Stegostoma tigrinum: one gene and its partners. The protein of the gene in region 1 interacts with the protein of each later gene in a pairwise test. Links are inferred from orthologs where the notes say so. Each region holds a gene or a part of one and is shown in the gene's direction. Other genes may lie near its edges.

Evidence for each region.
Region 2: the proteins of rabac1 (region 1) and rab33a interact in binary tests that used the Homo sapiens proteins (3 or more experiments, as listed by UniProt). The two-hybrid records come from large-scale screens. The link is inferred for Stegostoma tigrinum from reciprocal best matches to the Homo sapiens genes RABAC1 and RAB33A.
Region 3: the proteins of rabac1 (region 1) and synaptotagmin-16-like interact in binary tests that used the Homo sapiens proteins (3 or more experiments, as listed by UniProt). The link is inferred for Stegostoma tigrinum from reciprocal best matches to the Homo sapiens genes RABAC1 and SYT16.
Region 4: the proteins of rabac1 (region 1) and snx15 interact in binary tests that used the Homo sapiens proteins (3 or more experiments, as listed by UniProt). The two-hybrid records come from large-scale screens. The link is inferred for Stegostoma tigrinum from reciprocal best matches to the Homo sapiens genes RABAC1 and SNX15.

The regions. Positions count from the first base shown.
Region 1 is NC_081394.1:16,169,451-16,176,629, reverse strand, and holds the start of rabac1 (prenylated Rab acceptor protein 1), read left to right. Parts: upstream 1-4,177; 5' UTR 4,178-4,287; intron 4,288-5,286; exon of another isoform or gene 5,287-5,302; 5' UTR 5,303-5,336; coding exon 5,337-5,404; intron 5,405-7,179. UniProt on the Homo sapiens protein: General Rab protein regulator required for vesicle formation from the Golgi complex. May control vesicle docking and fusion by mediating the action of Rab GTPases to the SNARE complexes.
Region 2 is NC_081368.1:44,195,270-44,202,521, forward strand, and holds the start of rab33a (ras-related protein Rab-33A), read left to right. Parts: upstream 1-4,249; 5' UTR 4,250-5,061; coding exon 5,062-5,316; intron 5,317-7,252.
Region 3 is NC_081363.1:29,171,325-29,178,560, reverse strand, and holds the start of synaptotagmin-16-like, read left to right. Parts: upstream 1-4,218; 5' UTR 4,219-4,445; intron 4,446-7,236. UniProt on the Homo sapiens protein: May be involved in the trafficking and exocytosis of secretory vesicles in non-neuronal tissues. Is Ca(2+)-independent.
Region 4 is NC_081395.1:12,627,331-12,634,189, reverse strand, and holds the start of snx15 (sorting nexin-15), read left to right. Parts: upstream 1-3,841; 5' UTR 3,842-3,848; coding exon 3,849-3,947; intron 3,948-6,132; coding exon 6,133-6,165; intron 6,166-6,859. Other genes in the region: arl2 (ADP-ribosylation factor-like protein 2), read left to right, coding at 1,444-1,578. UniProt on the Homo sapiens protein: May be involved in several stages of intracellular trafficking. Overexpression of SNX15 disrupts the normal trafficking of proteins from the plasma membrane to recycling endosomes or the TGN.

The DNA.
Region 1 (7,179 bases):
TGCATTTGGTTCCATATGACAGACTGTTAGCAAAAATGAAAGCCCAAGGAATTGGAGATAACCCCTTGACATGTGTTGGGGTTTTGTTAGGAGGGAGGAGGCAGAGTTAACGGGTCATTATCTGAATAACAATGTATATTTTGACACTTTTGGCTGCATACATTAACAAATTATTGGATCTTTATTGAATAAATTTTGTTTTGATAACAAATCCATTTATTAAAAAGCCTGGTTGATAGACCTTTTTATTTAAAGCCCGATATCGATAAAATATTTAATTCACTGTCTTGGTAATTGGACAAGACAGTTTTATTTTATGTTGTGACCTGTGAAATAGTGGCACAAGAGCAAGAGAGCAGTCCTACAACCTCAGTGTTTAATTTCACTAACAATTTATCAATTGCTAATTTTTCCAGGCTCTAGTTCACTGATGAAATTTACAGGAATTCACTCTGGCCCACTCTCCATAGGGTTTTGAAATAATTACCATCACTGAACATACGTCATTGGCTCTGTAATTGCTTATTTTTCTCCACTGCGGAATATGCTGGCGAGCTGTTCCTGCACTTGATGCACAGAGCTCGTTCCTCCTAGTTGGGGAGTCTAGAACCATGGGGCACAGTTGAGATTCCTGGGTTGAATTTGCATTTGTGATTTTTAATCCTGTCCACCCTAATCCAACACCAGTACCTCAACATCAGGTGTAGAAGTCAACAGTATTGAAATGTAGTTAAATACAGCATAGAGTCATAGAGCATGGAAATAGACTCTAAATAATTCCATGCCGAACGTAACCCCAAACTAAACTAGTCCTACCTGCCTGCACTTGGCCTATACCCCTCCAAACATTTCCTATTCATGTACTTATTTAAATGTCTTTTAAACATTATAACAGTGCCCACATCCATCACTTCCTTCGGCAGTTCATTCCCTACATAAACCGTTCTGTGTAAAAAAGTTACCCCCATGTCTTTTTTAAGTCTTTCTCCTTTCACCTTAAAAATATATCCTCTTGTCTTGAAATCCCACCCCCCAAGGTGGAAAAAAACCTGCCATTCACCTTATCTATACCCCTCATTATTTTGTAAGCTTCTAAAAGGTCACCTCTCAACTACCTATGCCCCAGTGAAGAAAGCCCCAGCCTATCAGTCTCTCCTGATACTCAAACCCTCCATTTCGGGCAACATCCTGGTAGGTAGATCTCTTAAGAACCCTACCAATTTAATACTATCCTTCCCATTACAGGGCAATCAGAACTGGACACAGTATTCCAAAAGCAGCCTCACCAAATCCCTGTACAATCTCAACATAATGACCTAACTGCAATACTCGGTAGTAGATTCGCCAACTTTAGCTACATTTAAGTCGTCATCGGTCAAGCATATGGACATACATGGAATAGTGTAGGTTAGATGGGCTTGAGATCGGTATGACAGGTCGGCACAACATCAAGGGCCGAAGGGCCTGTACTGTGCTGTAATGTTCTATGTTCTATGTTCTATGACTGAGCAATGAAGGCAAGTGTGCTGTGTTGGGGATGGGCAAAGGATAGAGATAAAGGTATCTGGGAAACACCTTGGGATCATGGCAGACCAAGGGTTGTCAATGAGGCTGCCCGTCACTGACCATACAGTCACATGATTAATTTGGGAGTTGTAATTAATTAATAATATGATTGGTCTTTAATTACCAAATGCAGGTCTAAAGCAAATGTATAAAAGTTTATGTCTTCCCTTTGTTCAATGAGAAAGCTCTGACACCGCCCCCCCCCCATCCCACCATTTCTTCCCACTGGTGTAACTTCAATAAATTATTTGATGCTGGAAGCAGAATCTGGGTGCTAAGTGATTAATGAGTCTTTCCACCCAACAGTTACTAACCTCATCTCATCCGGAGAATTTCTCCCCCCAAAGACTCCAAGCATACAGCCCCCAAACACATCCATAAAGCATGGAAACAGGCCACTCAGGCCAACTTGTCTTTGCTGCCTGGGATCCTCCTTCTGCCTTCTTACTAAAATCCACAAACAGCACTGTCCCAGTAGATCCATTGTTTCTGCCTGTTCCTGCCCATGGAACTTATCTCTTCTAACCTCACCTTGATTTTTTCCTCCCTTTATCCAGTCCTTTCCCATTTACATCCACAATCCTCTGAAGCTTTATGTCAGTTTCAGAATTTCCAGTGCACTGGCTCCAGTCACCTCCTCTTCACCACGGCGTGCAGTCCCTTCCCAGGATGGTCTCAGGGCTTTCGCTTCCTCCTAGAAAAGAAGGCCTGAACTGTCCCACCCACCACCATCCTTGCAAGGTATGCTGCCTATTACAGAATGTCACATTGTAATAACGTTCTCAGACCATTGTGGGGCACCACTGCACCACTGTGAGGAGAATTCATTTTCAAGACATCAAAAAATAGACAGCAAGGCTAACGGTGTACATTTTAGATATAAGTGAGAGGACACAATGTGTGTTGTGGAAATTGAAGGCAAATTCCGTGCATGCATGGCCTGGAATGACTGTCACTGAATCTTCCAAATTCCACACTATCGACAACATTTATATTAAACCCATGTGTACACTTAGTCTGCAAGAATTTACTACCTATCCTCAGATTGGTGTCATGCATATAATGATAATTGTAATAATTGAGTCATTCAGATGGACACACACCCTTCGGAACAAACAGTCCATGCCAACTATAATCCCAAACTAAACTTGTCCCACCTGCCAGCTCTTGGCCTCCAAACCTTTCCTATTCATGTACTTATCTATATGTCTTTTAGACATTTTAACTGTACCTACATCCAGCTGCTTTCTCTGGAAGTTTGTTCCACACATGGACTCTGCATAAAGAAGTTGCCCTTTGTATTCCTTTTAAATCTCTCTCCTCTCACTTTGAAAAATGTCCCATAGTCTTGAAATACCCCAGCCTCGGGGAAACCCCTGTCATTCACCTTATCTATACCCCTCATGATTTTATAAACTTTTTTATGGTCTAGTAAAGCTGTTCCAGCATCTCCTTAAACCCTCCAATCCCAGTAAATCCTGGTCAATCTCTCCTAAACCTTCTCCAGTTTATCAACATTCTTCCTATAAGTGGGCAACCAGAACTGGACACAGTACTCTGAAAGGGGTCTCATCAACATCTTGTACAACCTCAACGTAATATCCTAACTCCTATACTGAAAGGACTGAGCAATGAAGGCAAGTGTGCCCAACATATTCTTAACAACCCTTTCTATATGTGATGTAAACTTCATAGAATTATCTACCTGAACTCTTAGGTCCTTCTGTTCTACAACACTACCCGACACCCTATTTTTAATTGTATAAGTTCCACCCTTGTTCGTTTTACCAAAATGCAATATTGTCAGAATGTTCCATTCTCCCCATCTATACAACAGTAGATTGTGATATTTAGCTGAACCGGGTTTGGACAGTGGCCGCTGGTGGGACTGGGGCTGGTTCCTGGGGAGGAGGTGGGGGGGGCTGGACTTGGGGTGTCGGGGTGTGGAGCTGATTGGCACGGGGGGGGGGGGGGGGGGGCCAAGCAGCATCAATAGGGGCTGCACGGTGGCTCAGTGGTTAGCACTGCAGCCTCACATCACCAGGGACCCGGGTTCCATTCCAGCCTCAGGCGACCATCTGTGTGGAGTTTGCACATTCTCCCCATGTCTGCGTGGGTTTCCTCCGGGTGCTCTGGTTTCCTCCCACAGTCCAAAGATGTGCAGGCTAGGTGGACTGGCCATGCTAAATTGCCTATAGTGTTCAGGGGTGTGTGGGTTATAGGGGGATGGGTCCAAGTGGGATATTTCAAGGGGCGGTGTGGACTTGTTGGGCCGAAGGGACTGTTTCCACACTGGAGGGAATCTTAAAAAAAAGTAATGATTGGTCAGTAGAGGCAATTTCAAGTGCTGTTTTGATCCGGCAGTGATCCCACCTCCCCAAATCATGAAAGCCACACCCGCCTATGAAAAGCGCCCTCTAATTGGGTGTCCGATTATATACCGCCAGGATACTGCTCTCTGATTGGATGTCCCGTTACGTTCCGCCCAGATACCGATCGGTGAGCGGGTTCCCTCTTGTTTACCGCCCTCTAATTGGGTGCCCGATTGTATTGCGCCCAGATACCGCCTCTCATTGGGTCATCCGTCGCCCGAAGCTTAGATACCGATCGCTGATTGGTCAAGAGACTGGACACGGGCCGTTTCTGGTAGAGGAAATAGAATCAGAAAAGCCTATGACGCTATATCCTTTGCCAACGGGTCACAAGAAGAAAGCGAAGCCGGTAGGAATTTATATTATTGCCCACAGCCTGTGAATACCGTGTATACCCTGTAGAGACCATATGGATCTCCTGTACACACTCCCTATAAACCCCGTGTACATCTAAAAATACTCTGTGGGTTCCACGGTACTCTCTATTGGTTCTCCATAGATCCCGTGTGTCGGCCCCCCCCCACCCCAATCCCATGTAGGTCCTGTGTGTGCCCCCGATCCCGTGTGCCCCCGCCCGCCCGCTCGATCGATCCCGTGTCCGCCCGCTCGATCGATCGATCCCGTGTGCCCCCGCCCGCCCGCTCGATCGATCCCGTGTGCCCCCGCCCGCCCGCTCGATCGATCCCGTGTGCCCCCGCCCGCCCGCTCGATCGATCCCGTGTGCCCCCGCCCGCCCGCTCGATCGATCCCGTGTGCCCCCGCCCGCCCGCTCGATCGATCCCGTGTGCCCCCGCCCGCTCGATCGATCCCGTGTGCCCCCGCCCGCTCGATCGATCCCGTGTGCCCCCGCCCGCTCGCTCGATCGATCGATCCCGTGTGCCCCCGCTCGCCCGCCCGCTCGCTCGATCGATCCCGTGTCGCTGTGGTGTGACACCGCCCCCCCCCCCCCCCCAACCTGCCAACACCTTGTAGGTCCTGTGTGTGCTGCCCCTCAACACCGAGTAGGTCCCGTGTGTGCGCTGCCCCCCCCCCCCCCCCCGTGTCTGTCCGGTGTGGCCCACCCCCTCGTGGGTCCGGATAGCCATCCTATTGAGAAGCCATTAGACAACCTATAGACACATAGTTGTCAGAGACCGCACAGAAACCTCATACTCGCCATGCACACACCTGCTTGACCCAGTGTAGATCCTACAGAGACGCTGTAGGTCCCACCAGACCATTATAGACAGATCGATAGGATAGGGATATTCCTAGACACTGTGAACTATTTTATTGCTATGATGTTATCTCTAGTCTTCCTGACTTTGGTGAAAGTCAATCACTTTACTTTTGAAGATCCCTTTTCCAGTCTTTCTTTGTTCCAGGTGTTCTCATCACTCTGAGTGCTTTCAGGACAACATGAGCTCGAAGCCTGAGGACGTGTTCTCCCTAACCAAAGAGGACGAAGCAAGCGGGGTGACTGGCAGGTGAAGTCACATGAAGCCTTTGCTGGCAGGATATCCCAGCTCACAGTCCCACTCGGTTAGGATCCCAGGTCCCTTTAAGAAATGGTTTGGAGTGGTTTGAGAGCAGGTGTGGCTCTCTGCCTCTTCTATTGAAAGTTGGATTCTTCCATGTTCTAAGATTGTGTTAGAACATGGCTGAAGAGGGTGATTAAAATATCTAAGCAGCAGGAAGTAAAATCTCACTGCCGTCAACATTGTATAATGTCATTTCTGTTTGGGTGAAATCTTGATAGAAAAGGGGAGGAAATGAGAACTGTGTTCTTCTCCAGTGGAGGGCTGTGTATGTCAGAACCCTCCTGCATTCCACTAGGGACCTGGGATGGAAGCTGTTTCACACAGTTGCCCCATCCAGTTCTTGGTTTCACTAAGCTCTAGTGCTGTCATTTTGGTGGATCTCACGGTGTCACGGTGGTCATTACTGCTCCCTCTCAGTGCCAGGGACCCAGATTCAATTCCATCCTTGGTTGACTGTGCAAACTCCACGCAGGCATTCTCCCTGTGGCTGCGTGGGTTTCCTCCCCGAGTCTAAAGACATGCAGATTAGGGTGGATTGGCCGTGTTAAATTGCCCCAGAGAGTCCAAGGATGTGCAGACTAGGTGGATTAGCCTTGGAAATGTGGGGTTGCAGGGATAGGGTAGTGGGAGGTAAGTGTAGGTGGGATGCTCTTCGGACAGTCAGTGTGGATTCAGTGGGTCAAATGGCCTGCTTCCATACTGTAGATTATCCATAAAGTCATTGAATCATAGACTCAGTTTACAAAGCTTGTGTGAGATTGCCCACTCTCCTTGTTCATTTTTATTTTAGAAAACCTTTTGCTATGGTTAAAGGGAAAGCAATGGACAAAGTGTACTTTCATTTCCAGAAATTGTTGATAAATTGCAATATCAAAGGTTGTTGTGGCGGGGGGCAGTATATTGGCATGGATTTATTCCCTGGCAGAAAACAGTATACATAAGTTCTCCATTTGGCCAGATATAGTGTTTCGTTTCTCACAGGGATCAGTGCTGGGGCCTTAATTTTTTAAACAGTTTGTATCAATAACTTGGATCAAGGAACAAAAAGCTACAGTTGTTAAATGTATTGATATTGAAGGAGATGCAATGCATTCACATGTTCTTTCTATCTAAAAAGGACATCGCATTGTGTGTCAATATATTTAGTTTGCAGTACACGCCAGTGCACCACATCATAAGCCAGACTGGCGAGCTTTATCACTGCCCTTGTTTCAACTCAACAATAGGAGACAGCCATTCCCTGATGCATTGGCCAAAGCATTGTTCACAGAAATCAGACTAATCTGCCTGATTTAAACTTAGATAAAGCTTGGCTGTTAACAATCAGTCATTATTTTTTAACTGGTGTGATCTCCATGGAAATGCCTCTGGCAATCAGGCACTCTGGCCAATCAATCACCATTCTCATTTCAAACAGTATAAATATTGGATTCTCCTTTCAAACAGTATAAATATTGGATTCTCCTTTATTGGTATTCTGCAAATTTAAGATGAGTACGAGATTTGACACATTTTAGCAATATCAAAAAAGTGTTGATTAACAAAGATACAGTGATGCCAGGAAGTTTGAACTGAACAGAGAACAGCCCTGATAACATGAACCAGGAGTAGTTGAGAGACTTGAGCATGAATTGAGTTTAAATAATTTGTGATTTGGTAAGAAATATTTGCTCACTACCTAAATATATTGAGGGAGTCGACATATATTCTGTATCATTTGA
Region 2 (7,252 bases), on another chromosome or scaffold:
GTTGTGGTTCTCTGTGTAGGCACTACATTGCCACTATAACAAACACTTCAAGGAGGTTGAAGTGCTCAAGGGTGACTGATTATGGTGAAGACTTTACTGCCTTATGCTGTACTAATTACTAGTGGTATAGATGGGGTGGCGGGGTGGCAAGGTGGCTCTGGTTTGCACTGCTGCCCATCAGCACCAGGGACCTGCGTTCAACTCCACTCTTGGGCAACTGGAGTTTGCACATTCTCCCTTTGTCTGTGTGGGTTTCCTCCCACTGTCCAAAGATGTGCAGGCTAGGTTGATTGGTCATGCTAAATTCCCCATAGTGTTCAGGGATGTGTACATTAGCAGGGATGGGTCTACTGGGAGGCTCAAAGAGTCTTTGTGGACTTGTTGGGCTGGAGGTCCTGTTTCCACACTGTAGGGAGTCTAAGTGAGATAAGAAATGCATGAGGCAAACTATGGCGTGGTGCAATTTATTCAATTATATTGTTGTAGGTATGTTATTTAGGGCATGGCTTGTTGGTCGAGGGGTACGATCCTCACTTAGAGTACTGTACAGGGTGGATATGCAAGAGGTCCTGGCTTCGACTCCCAGACGAGCCTAGGTTTCTTGCTTCACTTAGCGAATGGTACAGTGACTAAGTGTTTAGCACTGCTGCTTCACAGCACCAGGGATCTGGGTTCAATTCCAGTCTTGGCTGAGTGAAGACTTGATGGGCTGAATGGCCTCTTTCTGTATTGTAGGGATTCAGTGATTCTAAAACCATTTGCACCAAATAACATGGCTGGCACAGTGGCTCAGTGGTTAGCACTGCTGCTTCATAGCACCAGGGACCTGGGTTCAATTCCACCATCAGGTGACTGTGTGGAGTTTGCACATTCTCCCTTGTCTCTGGATGCTTTGGTTTCCTACCACATTCTAAAGATATACAGGTGAGGTGGATTGGCCATGCTAAATTGCCTGTAGTGTTCAGGGATGTGGAGCTTAGGTGAGTTATAGGAGATGGGTCAGTGTGGACTTGTTGGGTTGAAGGGTCTGTTTCCACACTGTGGGGATTCTATGGTCATAATTATGTTTTTAACATCCCTGTTATCTTTCACCTGGAAGTGAAACCAATCTCCAGACCTTTGTGGAATTTCTCAGCCTGACAACTGTGAAACTATATTCGGTCAGCTGTTTGATTAAAAAGCCAGTCAGGGAGTCTTATGCAATTTTTCAATTGCTGATCTTGCCACATGTTTGCTGTCTCTCGTTCCCTCTATTTAAAACAAAGTTCCAAAAACAATGCAAAATTTATAGAAATAGCAATTACTGCCCCAGGAAAGTCAGTAAATGCAGCTGAGCACAGAAATAACCTCAAAACAAAGAGCAACTCTCATAGCCACTGTCCTCTCCTGTCACCTTTTTTCTTTGCAGTTTTATTTTATTCCCAACTCCGCGACAGCAGTGATTTTCTGCTTAGTTTGAAAATAAAACTCCAGTCTCCCAAATGACTCCAATCCCCTATAATTTGCCTACTGACACAAAAGGTCCACAGAGGATGCCACATCCCTAACCCTGCACTCATCCCTGGAACACCTAGACAACAAAGACACCTATGTCAGAGTCCTGCTCATTGACTACAGACTACTTCAACACCACTATTCCCTCCAGGCTGATCTCAAAACTGTGTGACCTTGGTCTCAGCTCTGCCCTCTGTGTGGATCGTCAGCTTTCTGATCCACAGGCCGCAATCAGTGAGGATAAGTAACTGCTCCTCCTCCACAATAACACTCAACACCAGAGCTGCCCAAAGATACATCCTCAGCCCCCAACTGTACTCCCTGTACATCTACGACTGTGTTGCCAAATTCTGAATGACCGCCCATCCACAAGATCGCTGATGACACCACCATAGTGGAATGGATGTCTAACAACGATAAGTCAAAATTCAGAAAGGAGGTAGAGGGCTTTGTGATGTGTTACGATGAAAACAATTTGCACCTCAACATCAGCAAAACTAAAGAACTGATCATCCTCTTCAGAAAAAAAAGAACCTGCCCCCATCAATGTCAACGGAACTGAGGTTGAGAGAGAGAAGAGCATCAAGTTCCTCAGAATGATGATAACTGATGACCTGTCCTGCACTTCCCCATGTAAATGCGACAGTCAAGAAGGCACAACAATGCCTCTTCTTCCTCAGGCGGCTCAGGAATTTGTTATGTTCATAATGCCCCTCACCAACTTCTACAGGTGCACCATTGAAAGCATACTGTCTGAGTGCATAACAGTCTGGTATGGCAACTGCTGTGCCCAGGACTATAACAAACTACAGAAGATGGTGTCCCAGTCCAGATCATCACAGAAGCCAACCTTCCATCCATGGACTCTATTTACATAGCTCACTGCAAGCAGAAAGACGTCCAATGACGCAGTAATGATCTACTACAACCTCCTCCATCAGGCAAAAGATATAGAAGCCTGAACACATGAATGAGCAGGTTCATGAACAACCTCATTCCAGCCGTTATCAGACTGTTAAATGGATTCTAGCCTCAAATAGCCTGCAATGTAACCTGTATGCCTGTAAGACATTTTCTGAAGAAGGGCCTAGGCCCAAAATGTCAGCTTTCCTGCTCCTATGATGCTGCTTGGCCTGCTGTGTTTATCCAGCTCTACACCTTGTTATCTCAGATTCTCCAGCATCTGCAGTTCCTACTGTCTCTTGATCTGTACATCCTTTGCTTGCTGTGATCTCTGTCCCACTCAAACAAAACTTTTCACTATATTTCAGTACACATGACAATTAATCAATCAATGACCCTAACCCTATGTGATTAATTTACATTTCAATATCTTAACTGTATACAGTTTTCTTTAGTATAGTAGCTGACAGTGATCGTAGCAGTGCTGTGTAGTCTTTGCCGGCCGTGAGCCCTCCCTTTTGTTTAGCACTACTTTAGTGCACAGATCCAAGTACCTTTGCTCTTTAGAGAATGCTAGAAATAGTTAGCAGGACAGCAGGACAATATCCACAAAGAAAGAATTGTCATTGTTCTCTATTAACTCTCTATCTGATTAATTCTATTTTCTCCTCCCGTGTGAATATTTCATATTTTCTGTTTTTATTTCAGCTTTTGTTTTTGTCGTTGTCATCAGTTATCACTTACTAACACGTATGATTGTCCACCTAGGAAATTCCGTGTGACTGGTTATAGGTGGGTGTCAGTGTGGCTGATGAGCCCGATCCTACAGAAACATCACCAACTACACAATTGGCAGGTATCTCTAGGAAGTGGAATTGGTTCTTGAAATTGCTGGCATTCCTTTCTCAGGTTCCTTTTCCATATTTCCGCTTGCCGATGAGTGTCCAGAAAGATTTTTTAACGTGGCCATGCTGTTGCGCATCAGCACACACAAGATCATTGCCAGTAGGTAGATCCAGTTCCAGTGGTAAGGACTGTGAATCTCCCTACAGCTTGCAGCCGTTATCACACTGAAGAAGGATCGAGGCCTGAAACGTCAGCCTTCCTGCTCCTCTGATGCTGCTTGGCCTGCTGTGTTCATCCAGCTCTACACCTTGTTATCTCAGATTCTCCAGCATCTGCAGTTCCTACTATCCCCAAATATCTTTCGTCTTTTTATTAAGTGTTTTGCTGTTATTGCCATTGTAGTTAGCTTGTTTCGCGTGCTATTTTGTACATTATTAAGTTTGATTTGATCTAGCTGGTGTTTCTCCATTAATAAAAATATATTTTGTCTATTACTGAGAATTTCTGTCTTGTGAGCCACAGCACAATTTTAAAGAGACCATCAAAGGAACCGCATGTTATTGCTTCCATGTTAGGTGCACTCCATATGTAATGGCTCGGAAACATTATTTGTTAAGAGGCAATGTATCCAGTACTAAATACCAGGAATACTATTCTTAACTTTCTCTCAATATAGACATTAACTGACCAGATTGTCATTATAGGAATGATAATTTTAAAACAACTAAATGAACGAGCTTAAACTAAAGCAACATTAAATGCCTCAATGTATCTCTTGCCTGAAGTGTTCACATCTCTTGTCATTTATTACCCTTTAACGTCCTCCTGAGAATTCATCTCATCCTCACATGCTTTTGGTCCTTCAAAATCTCTCCTCCATTTTTAGCTTTGTGTACATTGTCTTCACCTCTGCGTTGCCTGAGCAACTTTTCTATTTGCGCGACGTTATTTCAATGTTATCTACCCGCGGTGGCAGCAAAGCAATTTCATTTCTAGTCTGGACGTGGGCTGAGCTGCCGATCCCATCAGGGAACACCTTTTGCAATTTCAACAAATAACCTTGATGCCCTGATCAATGAAGGAGGGCTGGAAAATCAACCAAGGTTTGCCCTGGCGGTCAATATTGCTGGTCCGAATTAGGTATGGACATAGGACATATGATCCTCACTTTAGTCCGACGACAATCCCAGTGAGGTTCACAGTTTACAAGAATCTAAGTGATAAGGACGAGTGTGAGAAGTGAAGAAATCGAATTATACTAATTACGACATTGTAGTAATTAAAAGTACAATTTGCACGAAAGAAAGAAGATCGCTTATTTAGAATGCTTTGCATAGCACAGGGAGACGTTATATTTAAGTGACGAGTGACGGGTGCCTTGTGCTGGGAACAGTGCTTTGTCCCGCTGTTGGCGCTCTGCCATCATCACTGCGTCAATTTCACCTTGTCGGTTACTGCGTGGCCCCATTAATCAGCACCAGGGAACACATACACACACACACACAACAGCTTTCACAGCGAGAGGGAATGAACAGGGGAGCAGCCCCATAACATCTCCAGGCTTATCATCACTCCCATTCTTTCCACACTGAAGACGACAAGCTTCGCCCTGCAGTTGACAATGCTGATTCAGACAGCCTCAGCCCCGATCCGAGTGTTGTATATATAATTTTTGATGTTCAGTCTTTTTATTTGACAGCCGGTTGCGGTATCACCGCTAGATAAGGGCGGCCGTATTCCTTCTGGAGCGTGAGAATTTTTTTTCCATTGCGGAGATTTTGTTTCAGCTTTCGTGAATAATACAAAGAAGATTCCAATATGGCAAGGCAGTTGACGGCGAATGGCGATTCCCGGGGATTCGGGTCGAAGAAGGTCTCTACTGATTATGAATCTTCTTTGGAACTGTCCGTGCAAGCGCGAATATTTAAAATTATTGTAATCGGGGACTCCAACGTTGGCAAGACTTGTCTGACCTTCAGGTTTTGTGGGGGGACGTTTCCCGACAAGACCGAAGCCACCATTGGGGTAGATTTTCGCGAGAAACCGGTGAATATAGAAGGAGAAACAATTAAGGTAAGAAGCTTTATGGAACCCGCATTGTCCAGGTTCGATTTTCACACGATCGACCAATTGCATTTCCTTTGTGATAATTCTAGTTCCCTTCGTCATTGGCGGAATATTGTCTAATCCAAGGGAAACTTGTTTTCATGACGATGCCAGGCTTCATATTTCTGTGAGAATGAGGCCCACCAGCGCTCTAAGTCATATCTTCTTCTCAAACCTCCCCATGAGGGAGAAAGACTCATCTCCCAACTTGTCGATGACATGGAGAAGGCTAGCATTTCCAGCAGAGTAGGTGGAGGCATAATATTGCAGGTATCCACTAGCTCAGCTGATGCTGTTGAGGTAGCACCAGCTCATACTTGGGAGGAGAAAACCCTCTGGGAAGTGGGCAGGCAAGCCACACCATTATTTTCTGAATTAGTTAGCACAGTGTTGCCCCTTTTCATCTCTGTGACAGGTAAATACCGCTTGCAGACAAAGGTTTGTGTGATACAAGCATGGCCTTCATTTAAGCCCACAGAACACCATTCTTATGCCTTGGTCATCAAAGTGAACAGAAGTTGATTGGTGCAAAGGGAACAAACAATATACAATGGCTCTTGTTGGTCTGTCTACCTCATCTCACAAATGCCTTGGCTTTCTCAACATTAACATTGTCATCCTCAACATCTCTATCAGACTCCACTTCTTCCTCATCTGGAGGAGTCAGGTGGTTCTGCATTTCCCCCTTTTCTAAATTCTCACTTTGTTATTGAGCTAGATTATGCATTATGTAACAAACATTCTCTGCTCTGGAGACTCTGTCCAGAGAAGACTGGATACTCCAGCTACGTATGGAGAAGATCATTTGTTTGCTCACTTATGGCTTCAGTGAATGCATGGGTAGCATTTTATTGCTGTTCACCATTATTAGTTCAAGGGTCTTCTAGTCAGATTATTCTCAATGGAGATATGTTTTATCACCCATGAGACTGCCCTAGAGATGATGTTTGAAGTATTAGGGAGGGAACATTCCAAGAACCTGAGGGTTACAGAAGATATAAATGATGTGACTGTTTCCTGCATTGCAAAGCACACCTGCAGGAATTATTGTCTGTGATCACAAAAACCTGGATATTGAGGGAATGAAATCACTTCCTGTTCAGAAATCTGGCTGGCTGCCAGGGAGCACTGAGTACCAAGGTGGGCGGGTGTTTGCCTCTTGTACCTGGTGTGTAACATGGCAATGAATGCAAATCTCACTGCTTGGGCAGCTAGGCTGTCTGAGGCCTTGATGAATAGGGCAAACTGAATTATTTCCCTGGATAGAGCTTCAGTAAGTCCATGAATGAACTTGTGGGCTGCCAGTTCAGAGGTGCCATACAAGCCCATAATTGAAGTGTGAAAGGAATTTGCGGCCAGGAAGCTAAATGTTGCTGTCACCTTCAGCCCCATTTTGATCTTGTTGTCATTGCTCTTCACTTCTTCTCCTCTTTTGCCCTATTTGTGTTGTAGCTGTATGATGTGGGAGCTGGTGGATCCCATTGCAAGCTGCAGTGATCACATCTGTAGCAAATGTTGGTTGCTGGAGGAGCTTTGGCTCAGAATTGAGCTGGAGTCTGAGCTTTGGACACTGCATTGCATGTGGGAGGGAGAGCGTTACCTGGCTGCTTTCTTTCAGGAGGCAGTCACACCTAGATTAAGAACCTCAAATTTGGTGAGTGGTCGGGGGTGACTGCAAGTGTGGCAGGTAGAGGGATCATGTATTCAGGAACAAAGGAGCCTCAGCTGTTGACCTGTCCAACAGGAACGAGGTACTTGTTCCCTGTGTGGATGAGGAAAAGGGCTGTGGGGAGGATGAGCCAACTGACCACTGCAGTGTGGTACAGGAGGCCATTCCAGAGGGGGGAGCAAAAAAAAAGTGGTAGTTTTAGGGGATTCTATAATTAAATCAATAGATAACATC
Region 3 (7,236 bases), on another chromosome or scaffold:
TCCTTGGCCCAATAACCAGGGCTCAGTACTCTCAGGGATGGGTCCTTTGTGCTCAGGGCTGAACCTGGACGCTCTGGGTCAGGCACAGCACTGGAGCTTGTGATTCCTGCTTGGTGGAAGCTGTCTGTCAGTCTGCTGATGACCGAGAGTAACCCCATGGATAGTAATTGGTCACACCGCCCTGTCAGTAAGTGAGCAAAATGTACTTGCAATACCAACTCTATAATAAAGCAAAGTAAAATGGCTAGTTTATGGATAATGACAGGCATTGGTGAGCCCCTGAATATGGGGAAATCAAGTGATTGAAAGGGCAGAAAAATTGTGGAAGAATGGTTTCCACTCGTGTATTTAAATGAATTGAATACATGGATACATTTTGCTTGACATCTCTATTGGTGTTATCCAATAAAAACTGGTGGGCAGCTTGAAATTACCTCTTGTATTATTTTCTCATTTAATAAATTATTAAGCTTTGTTTTCATTGTTCAACATCACTGAAGTCCTTAATTAAATTACTACTTATGTAATTTACTCCCACTCTCACTACATCCACTGGATACTGCATTGGTGTCTCACTGGGTGTTTTTATAAGTTACTGAATAATTTTGTTTAGATTGTCAGTCTGACATTTGATTTCATTAACTGGCAGTGGAGATAAAATAGGCCCTGTTCCAAACTGATCAAGCTCAGCCTGAAGATATTGCAGATAATGGTATGGAAGTGGTAAGAAAACACACTCACGTCCCAGTCACTGTTTGTTGTGAGCACTGTCAGCTCTGCTGTGAAGTTGTCACTGTGATTTAGAATGAGATTCCATCCTACAGTGAGGCAACGAAGCATGTACCATTTTAGCCTTTTGGGTTTTCAACTTAGTGCAGCTTTGAGACCAACTGCACTATGATGCTGAGGCTTTTTTTCTATTCATTTGTGAGGTGTGGACGTCGCTGGCTGAGCCAGCATTTCTTGCCCATCCCTAGTTGCCCTTGAGAAGGTGGTGGTGAACTGCCTTCTTGAACCACTGCAGTCCTCCTGCTGTAGGTTGACCCACAATGCCATTGGTTGGGGTGGGGGATGGTGGAATTCCAGCATTTTGACCCAGTGACGGTGAAGGAACAACGATGTATTTCCCAGTCACGATGGTGAGTGGCTTGGATAGGAACTTGAAGGTGCTGGTGTTCCCATATATCTGCTGCCTTTGTCTTTCTAGATGGATGTGGTTGTGGGTTTGGAAGGAGCTGTTGAAGGATCTTTGGTGAATTTCTGCAGTGCATCATTCAATGTTCGATAAGATCATTGTCACTAGATTAATAATCCGGAGGCCAAGACTAAAGCCCTGGTAGTGTGAGTTTACATCTCACCCTCGTGAGAAATTGAATTTAAATTCAATTCATGCATTTTGTTTTAATTAAAGAAGTGCTGGAATTGAAAACTGGTTTCAAAGATGTAACCATGACATTATCAGTAGTTGGTGTAAGAAATCCATCTGTTCATTAATGTCCTTCAGCGAATGAAATCTGCCACCCTTACCTGTGATTTCAGAGCCACAGTAATGGGCTTGACTCCAAATGTCCTCTGAAATGCCTGAGCAAAAAAACTCAGTCATACCAAACCAAAAACAAGTCAAAGAATGAAAGTGGATGAACTACCTGCTTTCAATGTTAGTTTTGGAAAAACAGAACACCTGCCCTGCCCACCCTACAAAGCCCTAATTACAGAGTTTCTGCAACAATTTGGAGAGCTGTCCTCCACAGAAAGACAGGGTAACAAAGTGTGGAGCTGAATGAACACAGCAGGCCAAGCAGCATCTCAGGAGCACAAAAGCTGCTTGGCCTGCAGTGTTCATCCAGCTCCACACTTTGTTATCTTGGATTCTCCAGCATCTGCAGTTCCCATTATCACGCCACAGAAAGACAATTGGGCAGGTTGGCTGATTCACACTGCTTTCTGGGTACCACAGGAATTAAGTTCTAGGCAATCAATTGATACTGTTAAGTGGTAAATTAGTGACTAGTTTATGGGCCTGTACATTGTTACCACCCTGATTATCACTTGTTTCCAGAGGACAAGAATCATAGAATCCCTACAGGACAAAAAGAGGCCATTTGGTCCATCAAGTCTACATCCTCCGCCAAAGAGCATCTCACCCTGTCCCCATACCGTACATTTCCCATGGCTAACCCACCTACTCTGCACACCCCTGGACACCGTAGAAAATTTAGCATGGCCAATCCAACTAACCTGCACATCTTTGGACAAGGAGAGGAAACTAGAGCGCCTAGAAGAAACCCATGCAGACACAGGGAGGACATGCAAACTCCACACAGGTGCCAGCACCATCATAAAATGTGCCCCCTAGTATCAGCTGTTCTGAACTTCCACATGGCAGTGCCACAGTAGTTTGTCCGACTGACGTGACCTCTGATTAGTCGGCAGTTTCACATGTGGGCAGGATATCACCAGGAAGGGATCCCAAAGGAAAGTCAACTAAGTGATAGGCGTGTGATCCAGTAGGCTTTCCCATCTGCAGTGCAGTAATGGGGATGGAGGGCATTTGGCCTGTTTTGATGGCTTCCACAACAAAAGCAGGAAATTCCACATAAGGACCTTTCGGTGAGGAAACTGAAGAAATGGAAGAATTCTTAAACTGGGGGTGGGGACAGGAAGAACACACGAGATCTGTGTAGTTCAGGAACAATCAGTAACCCTTCAGCCACAGAGACTGGTATTTGGTAAAATTAAGAATCAAAAATGTTCAAGGAAGTGACTTTTTAAAATATATATTATGATTTGATTTGATTTATTGTCACATGTACTGAGGTAGAGTGAAAAGTGTTGTTGTGCATGCTATACAGGCAGATCATACCATACAAAGTGCATCAGGCTAGCAGAACAGAGCGCAAAATACAGTGTTCTAGCCACAGAGAAGGTGTAGGGAGAGAATTAACATTTGAGAGGTCCATTCAAAAGTCTGACAACAGCGGAGAAGAAACTGTTCTTGAATCTGTTCGTATACGGAAACTTTCAGATCTGCTGCCAACAGGTGGAAGCGAGTATTTGATTATTTTGTTGTTTTCCCGAGGCAGTGAGAAGTATAAATCGAGTCAGTGGATAGAAGCTTGTTTGTATGATGGCCTGGGCTATGTTCATGATTCTGTGTAATTTCTTACGGTCTTGGGAAGAGCAAATGCCAAACCATGCTGTGATGCATCCATGTAGGATGTTTTCTGTGAAGTAGCTATAAAAATTAGTAAGAGTCATTGTGGACATGCTGAAATTTATTCGCCTCCTGAGGAAGGAGTGATGGTGTTGTGCTTTCTTGATCATCATGTTGACGTGGGTAGACCAGAGCAGGTTGTTGCTGATCATCACTTCCAGGAAATTGACACTCTTGAATATCTCCATCTCAGCATCATTGATGCAGGCAGGGGAGTGCCCCCCCAACTCACTTCCTGAAGTCAATGACCAGCTCCTTTGTTTTGCTGATGTTCTTCGAGAGATTGGTGTCTTTACACCACTGCCACCAAGCACTTACTCTCCTTCCTGTACTTTGTCTCATCGTTGTTTGAGATCCAACCTACAATGGTGGTGTTGTCAGCGAACTTGTAAAAGGAGTTGGGGCAGAATGTGGTCACACAGTCGTGAGTGTATCAGGTGTATAGTAGGAGGCTGAGTACGCAATCTTGCAGGACACTGGTGTTAAGGATTATCATGGTCCTCCATTGTGGTGTTGTTGCCTATTCTTACCGATTTCAGTCTATGAGTCAGCAAGTCAAGGATCCAGTTACAGAGTGGGGAGCCAAGACCTAGGTCTTGGAGTTTAGAGATGAGTTTATTTGGAATAACAGTGTTGAAGGTGGAGCTGTGTGCCAGAAGTAGGAGCCTGACTTAGGTATGTTTGTTATCCAGATGTGCCAGGGGTGAGTTTAGGGCCAAGGAGATGGCATCTGCCATGGACCCGTTGTGCTGTTAGATGAATTACAAAGGATGATTGCCCTGGAGCTTCAGCATAATGGTATCACAAGTATTCTACAGCGGCAAAATGATTTTTAAAAATTGTAAGTTTACTAGAGTCTGGAAAAGCTCATCAATTTTCATCAAAGGTATTTCAATTTTAGTATAAAATCTGTAAACCAATCAGGCTTGCTGTAATTCTACCTGTTTGAAATCAGAAGGCTGTGGTTTTGTGAGCTGGCCTCCTTTGCAAACATTCTCATTGTTTTGTGAGTAAGTAGAACCCTTAATGAATCAAACCACACCTAAAGTTTCAGGAAGTTGTGCTCAAAGGAGAAGGCTATTGTCAAGAAGTCTTCTCTGACTGAAGGAAAAATAAAAATCCCAAAACAGTGAAGGGAGAACAGATTTTCCGTGGTTTCTTTGTTCCATGTACGATTCCCTGTGGGCTGAAAGCAAGGCGTCAGTGAACGGACCTTAATGGTTACTTTCAGGTAGGATTTGAAACTTGTTGGCCTGGAAACACACCTTAGGCAGTTTCAGCTGGGAGTTGGATATGACGAGGGCAGTCAGTGTGGTAACCTGATGCTACTTGAGTAGTATTGCTGCTTTGCTCCATTTAAGCAGTGTCTGCTGACTTTTCAATAATGCTCTATACATGGTGCCAAAAAGAAATTATTTCTCAGGCTTGTGTTATGTCGAACATTGGTGAGCGTTAATTGACTTTTTGCTTTCTGATTAACCTTCATGATAATATCTTGAAGCATGACGTAAGTCGTACATTCTCATGTTTCATCCAAAACTATAAACCCATCATCCAGAAAAGGCTCAAATTTTTTTACATTTATGACAGATATGGGAGCGTTTTGTGTGTCCTCTTTATATGTTAACTATGGAACAATTTTTCTTTTGTTTTTAAATCTCAAATCCCAAACCTACACTTTTATTACCTCTAAACTTCAATGTTAATGGCTTCAGACTCATGAGATTTACAAACCATTTTTTGGTGGTCATGAGTCATTTGATACCCCAAAAGCATTACCAGTAATAATAGGGTTATGTCAGCAAGAATAACTAATTATGGATCAATACTTATACCTTGGGATGTGGAAGTCACCAGACCAGGCCTGGTATTTCTTCTCCGGCCCTAATTGCAGAAATTCTGATCATTTTATAAACCACAAGAGTTCTCAGAGTCTGCACAAACATTTGGTTGGAACTGACATTGAAACTGGAATGCAAACCATTTGAGGCGTGGCTTTACTTTTCAAAAAGCAGCTGTGGGAGAACTTGATCAGCTGCCTCTTAAAGAGGTACTGTACGTGCGAATTTCTTAATGCATTCATTTCCCAAATGTATGATGCAAACAGGGAAAACATACACGGAAGTTGTGTTTGAATCAGATCATTTGAAGTTAAGATAATAAAGTGTGAGGCTGGATGAACACAGCAGGCCAAGTGGCATCTCAGGAGCACAAAAACTGATGTTTTGGGCCTAGACCCTTCATCAGAGAGGGGGATGGGGTGAGGGTTCTGGAATAAATAGGGAGAGAGGGGGAGGCGGACCGAAGATGGAGAGAAAAGAAGATAGGTGGAGAGGAGAGTATAGGTGGGGAGGTAGGGAGGGGATAGGTCAGTCCAGGGAAGACAGACAGGTCAAGGAGGTGGGATGAGGTTGTAGGTAGGAAATGCAGGTGCGGCTTGAGGTGGGAGGAAGGGATGGGTGAGAGGAAGAACAGGTTAGGGAGGCAGAGACAGGCTGGTGATAATGGGAACTGCAGATGCTGGAGAATCCAAGATAATAAAATGTGAGGCTGGATGAACACAGCAGGCCCAGCAGCATCTCAGGAGCACAAAAGCTGACGTTTCGGGCCTAGACCCTTCATCAGAGAGGGGGTTGGGGTGAGGGTTCTGGAATAAATAGCGAGAGAGGGGGAGGTGGACCGAAGATGGAGAGAAAAGAAGATAAGTGGAGAGGAGAGTATAGGTGGGGAGGTAGGGAGGGGATAGGTCAGTCCAGGGAAGACGGACAGGTCAAGGAGGTGGGATGAGGTTAGTAGGTAGGAGATGGAGGTGCGGCTTGGGGTGGGAGGAAGGGATGGGTGAGAGGAAGAACAGGTTAGGGAGGCAGAGACAGGTTGGACTGGTTTTGGGATGCAGTGGGTGGAGGGGAAGAATTGGGCTGGTTGTGTGGTGCAGGTGGGGGGAGGGGACGAACTGGGCTGATTTTGGGATGCGGTGGGGGAAGGGGAGATTTTGAAGCTGGTGAAGTCCACATTGATACCATTGGGTTGCAGGGTTCCCAAGCGGAATATGAGTTGCTGTTCCTGCAACCTTCGGGTGGCATCATTGTGGCACTGCAGGAGGCCCATGATGGACATGTCATCTAAAGAATGGGAGGGGGAGTGGAAATGGTTTGCGACTGGGAGGTGCAGTTGTTTATTGCGAACCAAGTGGAGATGTTCTGCAAAGCGGTCCCCAAGCCTCCGCTTGGTTTCCCCAATGTAGAGGAAGCCACACCGGGTACAATGGATGCAGTATACCACATTGGCAGATGTGCAGGTGAACCTCTGCTTAATGTGGAAAGTCATCTTGGGGCCTGGGATAGGGGTGAGGGAGGAGGTGTGGGGGCAAGTGTAGCATTTCCTGTGGTTGCAGGGGAAGGTGCCGGGTGTGGTGGGGTTGGAGGGCAGTGTTGAGCGAACAAGGGAGTCACCGCTCGGTTCGCTATAAACAACTGCACCTCCCAGTCGCAAACCATTTCCACTCCCCCGCCCATTCTTTAGATGACATGTCCGTCATGGGCCTCCTGCAGTGCCACAATGATGCCACCCGAAGGTTGCAGGAACAGCAACTCATATTCCGCTTGGGAACCCTGCAGCCCAATGGTATCAATGTGGACTTCACCAGCTTCAAAATCTCCCCTTCCCCCACCACATCCCAAAACCAGCCCAGTTTGTCCCCTCCCCCCACTGCACCACACAACCAGCCCAGCTCTTCCCCTCCACCCACTGAATCCCAAAACCAGTCCAGCCTGTCTCTGCCTCCCTAACCTGCTCTTCCTTTCACCCATCCCTTCCTCCCACCTCAAGCATCACCTCCATTTCCTACCTACCACCTCATCCCACCTCCTTGACCTGTCCGTCTTCCCTAGACTGACCTATCCCCTCCCTACCTCCCCACCTATACCCTCTCCACCTATCTTCTTTTCTCTCCATCTTCGGTCCACCTCCCTCTCTCTCCCTATTTATTCCAGAACCCTCACCCCATCGCCCTCTCTGATGAA
Region 4 (6,859 bases), on another chromosome or scaffold:
AATCAGGCTTGGGCTGAAAAGTGACAATTTACATTTGTGTCACACAAATGCCAGGCAATGACCATCTCGAACAAGAGGCAATCTAACCACTGCCCCTTGATATTCCTTGGTGTTAACCATCACTGAATCTCCCCACTGTCAACATCCTGGGGTTTACCGTTGATCAGAAACTCACCTGCACTTACTACATAAACACCACGGATACAAGAGCAAGTCAGAGGCTGGGAATACTGCAGCGAGTAACTCATCTCCTGACTCCTCAAAGCCTGTCCAACATCTACAAAGCATAATTCAGGAGTGTGAGGGAATACTCCCCACTCGCCCCTGGATGGGTGCAGCTCCAACAACATTCAAGAAGCTTGACACCATCCAGGACAAAGCAGCCCCTTTTGATTTGGCACCACATCCACTCTGTTCACCACTGACGCTCAGTAGCAGCAGTGTGTATCACCTACAAGATGCACTGCAGAAATTTGCTGAGGACCTTAGTACCTTCCAAACCTATGACCACTTCATCTGGAAGGATACGGACTGACTTGGAAATATATTGGCTGTTCCTTCACTGTTACGGGATCAAAATCCTGGAATTGCCTCTCTAACAGCATTGTTTACCTGTTGCATGTGGACTGCAGCGGCTCAGGAAGGCAGCTCACCACCACCTTCTCAAAGGCGACTAGGGACAAGCAATAAATGCAGAACGAGCCAGCCTTGCCTGAGGCTCCACAAAGAGAACTGGAAGGGCAGGAGACTATTCATCCTTGTATGATGGTGTGCTTCCAGTCACCGTGGTTGATCTGTGACCTAACTCCATGTTCCCCTTGTTTGACTCATCTCCCTTGACATATTTGTCATTGTGATCAAAAATGACCAATTCATCGTGAATTATTTGTGGTTTGTGGAAAGAGAGTTCCAAACCTCTCCCGCTCATGTCGAAACATCTCCTCATCTCCTTCCTGACAGGTCTGCTCATTTTTTCCACACGCTCTCTCTTGTCTCCTGTCACTCAGTTTCCAAACAAAGCTTTGCTTCCATGAACAGGAGGGAGAGAGAATCTGAGGTACTCAACCAGCCCGTACAGCCCTCTGAGATCTCTGTGTTCTAATTCTGGCCGGTTGAGTAGTCCTCAGTTCCCATCACACTTCCATTTCGGCAGTTGAGCAGCCTGGGGGACCTAAGCTCTGGAATTCCCTTCCTAAACCTGTTCTCTTTCCCCCCTGCCCACCCCCCTCCCACCACCACCACCCACCACCACCGAATGTTTTAATCCAACTTCTTTTGACCTGGTTTTTAGCCTCCTGTCAAACTGTACCGTGATATGGCTTGGTGTGCCTGGTTTGGGATGTCTCATTATGCAAGTGGTATTTCTATGATTGAAAATTGTTGTTGATAGATTTTTATTTTACACCTCCTAATCACCTTCTCCACCTCCACTTGGTTTCATAGGCCTTGGACCTTGACAGTATTAAGACCCACCACTGGTGTATTCGAGACTGCAGCGCAGTGACAGGGGAGAACTTGCTAGTTGGAATTGACTGGCTGATGGACGACATATCCTGCCGAATATTTACTGCAGACTGACACTACCGCCACCACCACCATCCCGCTCACCTCTCCTCCCCCTCTCACTACAGCAGCAGCCCTGCCTATCACAATGTAACCATCACACGGGCTGTCTGATCCCCACTCTGTTTGGTTTGTATTTTTGAGAGGCGGGAGAGCACTGGAGGGTGTACGCAGAGTTTGAGCACGGTGGCAAACGTCCTGAATGTCGGGAGCAGAGAAATGCTGAGTCCTGCGTCTTCATCTGGGAAAATGTTCACTTTGTTAAAATGTACATCTTTTCTGATGGACATGGGGACACAGTTCCGGATTGCTTCCTTTACAAAATCTGATGACTATTGAAGTTGGTCATTTTCACCTCTTGAGCACTGTTCAGGATGCTTCTACTGATGCAATAGGACCATCTCTCCCTCATTGTTCACCGTCATCTAGCTGTTTCTATCCCTCTGCTTCCCCATCTGCCACTTCATTTCTCCCACTGTCTCCCTCTCCTCTCTCTCCCCCTTCTTCTTCCTGTTGCATACCCACCTCCTTCTTCTACTCCCTGTCCCTTATCTCAGCCCTCCTTCCTCTTCAACCCCTTCCCCTTTACCTCCCTGCCCAATCGGTTTCTACACGGGTGTGGATATTTGTGCCACTTGACACAAGCTGTGGACTTGCCCTGTTGGCGTTTTGCTGCTTGTTTGTGTTTTGAGCCCAGTTTTCACAGCAACTGTTGGGAGGCCTGAGCCCACCAGGTGGTGGTGGTTAGGATGTGGGAAATGCACTGATGACTTTGTTTGTATTGTCTTTCTGTTTCATTCTTGTTTAAATTATTTTACAGTGCAGAACATTACATTTAAAGAAAAACAGAATGGTCCCTCTGTGTTGAATTATTCCATATTATGTACCTTCTCCAATGTGCTGTTGGCACCATACCATTCACCAATGCAGCTTTTAACAGAAATGCTACACCTCATTCCACCCTCAAGCTCCCTGGCCCTGACTGCTCCTAAGCTTGAGACTTCTCCTGGGGAATTTGCTTAGCCCAGTAAGTGGGGGAGACTTTCGCTTCAATATCTTGACCATTGTCCTTCATACTTTTGCCAGCTCTGTGATTACCTTGTCTCACCCCATTTCACTCAAACCTCTCACACTGAGCTTGCTCCGTTAGAGTACCTCTGCAAACTGTCTCCAGGACTCTGCTTCTTGTACCTGTCCAGCAATGATCAAACTCTCACTTACCCTCCATAGTCCCACCGCCCCAGATTCCACCAGTCAATGCTCAAAGCTCCATCAGTTCCATTATTTTTCTCCCAAGTTGTAAGATTGTGGATTCAAACCCAACCTTGGAGACTCTTGGGCATTATCCAATGTAATGATTATTGATTGACCTGCGATGTTAAGACTGCTTCCCTCCACAAACATTGCTGGCTGCCCTTGGGTTGGTCTGGCAATTTTTTTTTCTTAGTTTTGATTTGCAGCACCCACTTTTGTGTGGCTAAGACTGAGCAAGTGCTGCTGTGTCAGAGGTGCCATCTTTGATGTTGTAAAGACCGTGTTGCATTCGGCCTTCACAAGCAGGTGGGAAAGATACCAAGGCCAGTGGCTGATCCTGGCATCTTGGGCTCAATATGTACCCATCAATTGTCATCACTTCCAAAGTAATGCAATTGGATGTGGAAGGAGCTACAAAAACGGAAGGTGGCTTATGGGTTAGCACTGCTGCCTCACAGGGCTGGGAACCTGGGTGCAATTCCATCCTCGGGTGACTGTACAAACTCCACATACAAATCCTTCCCGTGTACAGGCTAGGTGGATTGGCCAATGCAAAATTGGCCCATAGTGTTCAGGGATGTGCAGGCTAGGTGGGTTAACCATGGAAGATGGTGGGGTTAGGGTTGGGGTTTGGGTTACTGAGGCGTGCTGTTGGTAGGGTCAGTGTGGATTCGATGGGCTGAATGCCGTACATTGATTCTGTGGGAAAAAGTGGGAAGTGGGCTGAGCAGCTGAATTGGAGGTCACCTTGTGTCTTTATGGGGATGAAGCTGGGCAAACATGTTATTGGGAAGTTATTGCGAGTGAAGGAGCTGAGTGTAGTCTAAGGTGGTTATATAGAACAGTGCAATTGGCATTGACCCTGACAGCTGTGGGAGGGGCCTGCTGTGCGCCTGCACCCACACGGCAGTGGGCGTGTTCAATTCTGCGCCTGCGCACTAACGGCGGAGGGTTCCTCCCGGTGCTGTGGCTGCGCCCCAGTGGTGATGGGCGGGGCCGGTGGAGCGCCTGCGCTCTGGTCTGCACTCAGGATGTCATGGAGGAGGGGAAAGGCGGACGAAGTCCGGTACCGAGTGACGGAGCCGCGGCAGCACCCACACGGCTACACCGAGTACCGGGTCACCGTCACGGTAAGGGGAGACTGCAACCTACCAGCGGGGAAGTAAGGAGAGCCTACATGACCCCTTACCTGGGACCCCTGACACTGCACCCAACCCCAACCCCTTACCTCAACACCTCATCCCTCCCTCACCTTCCTAACCAAAGTGACTCCTCAGCCTGACCCTCAGCGCTGAGGGAGTGGGCACTGTCGGAGGGTCAGTGCTGAGGGAGTGGGCACTGTCGGAGGGTCAGTGCTGAGGGAGCGCCGCACTGTCGGAGGGTCAGTGCTGAGGGAGCGCCGCACTGTCGGAGGGTCAGTGCTGAGGGAGCGCCGCACTGTCGGAGGGTCAGTGCTGAGGGAGCGGGCACTGTCGGAAGGTCAGTGCTGAGGGAGTGGGCACTGTCGGAGGGTCAGTGCTGAGGGAGCGCCGCACTGTCGGAGGGTCAGTGTTGAGGGAGCGGGCACTGTCGGAGGGTCAGTGCTGAGGGAGCAGGCACTGTCGGAGGGTCAGTGCTGAGGGAGCGGGCACTGTCGGAGGGTCAGTGCTGAGGGAGCGGGCACTTTCAGAGGGTCAGTGCTGAGGGAGCGGGCACTTTCGGAGGGTCAGTGCTGAGGGAGTGGGCACTGTCGGAGGGTCAGTGCTGAGGGAGTGGGCACTGTCGGAGGGTCAGTGCTGAGGGAGTGGGCACTTTCGGAGGGTCAGTGCTGAGGGAGTGGGCACTGTCGGAGGGTCAGTGCTGAGGGAGTGGGCACTTTCAGAGGGTCAGTGCTGAGGGAGTGGGCACTGTCGGAGGGTCAGTGCTGAGGGAGAGGGCACTTTCAGAGGGTCAGTGCTGAGGGAGCGGACAGTGTCGGAGGGTCAGTGCTGAGAGAGCGGACAGTGTCGGAGGGTCAGTGCTGAGGGAGTGCCACACTGTCGGAGGGTCAGCGCCGAGGGAGCGGGCGCTGTCGGAGGGTCAGCGCCGAGGGAGCGGGCGCTGTCGGACGGTCAGCGCCGAGGGAGCGCCGTGCTGTCGGTGGGTTGGGCGCCGCGCTGTCGGTGGGGTCAGCGCCGAGGGGACGCCGTGCTGTTGAAGTGCCAGTTCTCAAATGAGATAAATGATTGATTTTTTGTCACATACATCTCGGGAGACACTGAAACATTTTATGTCGTCACACTCTGGCACGATTGTTAAGAATAAAAAGGACGTAATTAGATCGAGTTCACCTTCATTGGCCAGGGTCCGAAACACTGCTCCAGGACTTCTGTACAGTCCCTGATCTGGGTCTCCCACGGCCTGGAGTCTCTACGCTCGTCACCAGTTGCAGCCTCAGTTGATGACCTGCTGCTGCGGAAGGAGTCTGCGTTCCAGGCCTACAGCAGCCAGGCGCCTTCGTTCTCCCATTGTTGATGCCCTGCCAATTCCAGGTGTCCGGGCATTGGGCCCTATGAGCCAGGAGTCACCCCCCCACGCTGTTGTAGCCTTCTCGTGGTGTTGGGAAGGTGAAGAAAAGACAAAAAAGAGAGGGAGAAGAAGAATGCCGCTCAACTGGAGCGGATAGGCTGTTCCCGAGCGTTGCTGTCTGTGCCAGCACTGCCCTTGTGATGTGTAATGATCGAAGATGTTTAACAGCTCGTGGAAGGATGTGAATAATCGTTTGGCTGTGATTGAAGGAGAGCAGGATCGGACGGGATTGCGAAGAATTCTCTGCAGTGTCCAGAGTCCGATACTTATCCCATAATGAACATCACTGAAAAACACGTGGCCTGGTGACTTCTGTGACACCATTTGGGGGAGCTTGCTGTGGGCTACTCGGCTGCTGCATTTTCTCCATTCCAGTGGCATCCATCCTGTCATGAAAGTCAGCATTGACAAGGAAGTGCTGTTTTGGAATGTGGTGGCACAGTGACAGGCAATACAGAAGTGCACCTCTTTGCTTTTGTTCCCAGAGCCTTGAGGATAGTGTGTATTGGGGGGTGGGTGTGGTGGGGGGGGTGGAGCTCGATAGAGCTCTCGGTCCATCGGAAGTCCCTAATGCAGAGGTGTGCTGACTGACGGACAGGAACCTTTAATAGCAGCGTGAAGTGGGATGTTTGGCAGGGGACTGTGATTCCTCACAGCTAGTGGGTTGGTTATCTGCATTTGGGGATGCCTCAGCAAGTGTGTTTACTCCTACACTACACCTCTGTGACCTGTACTGTTTGTTCTTTCTACACCCACTCCCAACTACAGATCTTTTCCAAGAAGACTGCAGACGTCAAAGAGGTAAGTGCAGGTGTGAGGATTCAAGTCTGGCTGTGTACAGGCGGAGGAGGTGTGGGTTGTAGAAGTTGGGGGCAAGGCATGTTCAGCTCCTCAGGCTCTGGTCTCTTGTCACCAAGCCACATCCCTCAACCTACCTGTTGCTCGCAATCCGCCAATCTGGGTCCAAACCCAGATCCTGCCCACCCCCCCAACCACCCCATTCGACTTGAGGGAGAAGATGTCACATCTCCTCAGAAGGGCTTAGCTGTCGTTTTTAAAGTTCTGATCCTGACGCAACCTCGTCCTGGCTTTCCCTCACCTCAACTCCCATTTTATTCTGTTCCCGCCCCACCCCAACCACTAGACAATATAATTTCTCTCTGTCAGCCCCTTTGAACATCTCAAACCCTCGATTGAATTCCTCCACCCATCTGCCCAATGTAATTGCAAAGTGCTGGAACTAGCCAGAGAGGGAAGTGTTTTAATGAGTCAAACCTTTTGGTTTGATTTATTGTTGCCATGTGCACCTAAGTACAGTGAAAAGTTCTGTTTTGCCTGCAGTACGTGCACCTCATACCATACAAGGACGCACAGATCATAGAGTGATTCAACAGAGTGAGGAGTACAGAGTTACTGCTGCACAGGAGGTATACAAAAGCAAGACCAACATTAGATTTGAAATTTGACAGGTCCATTCACCAGTCTCGACACAATG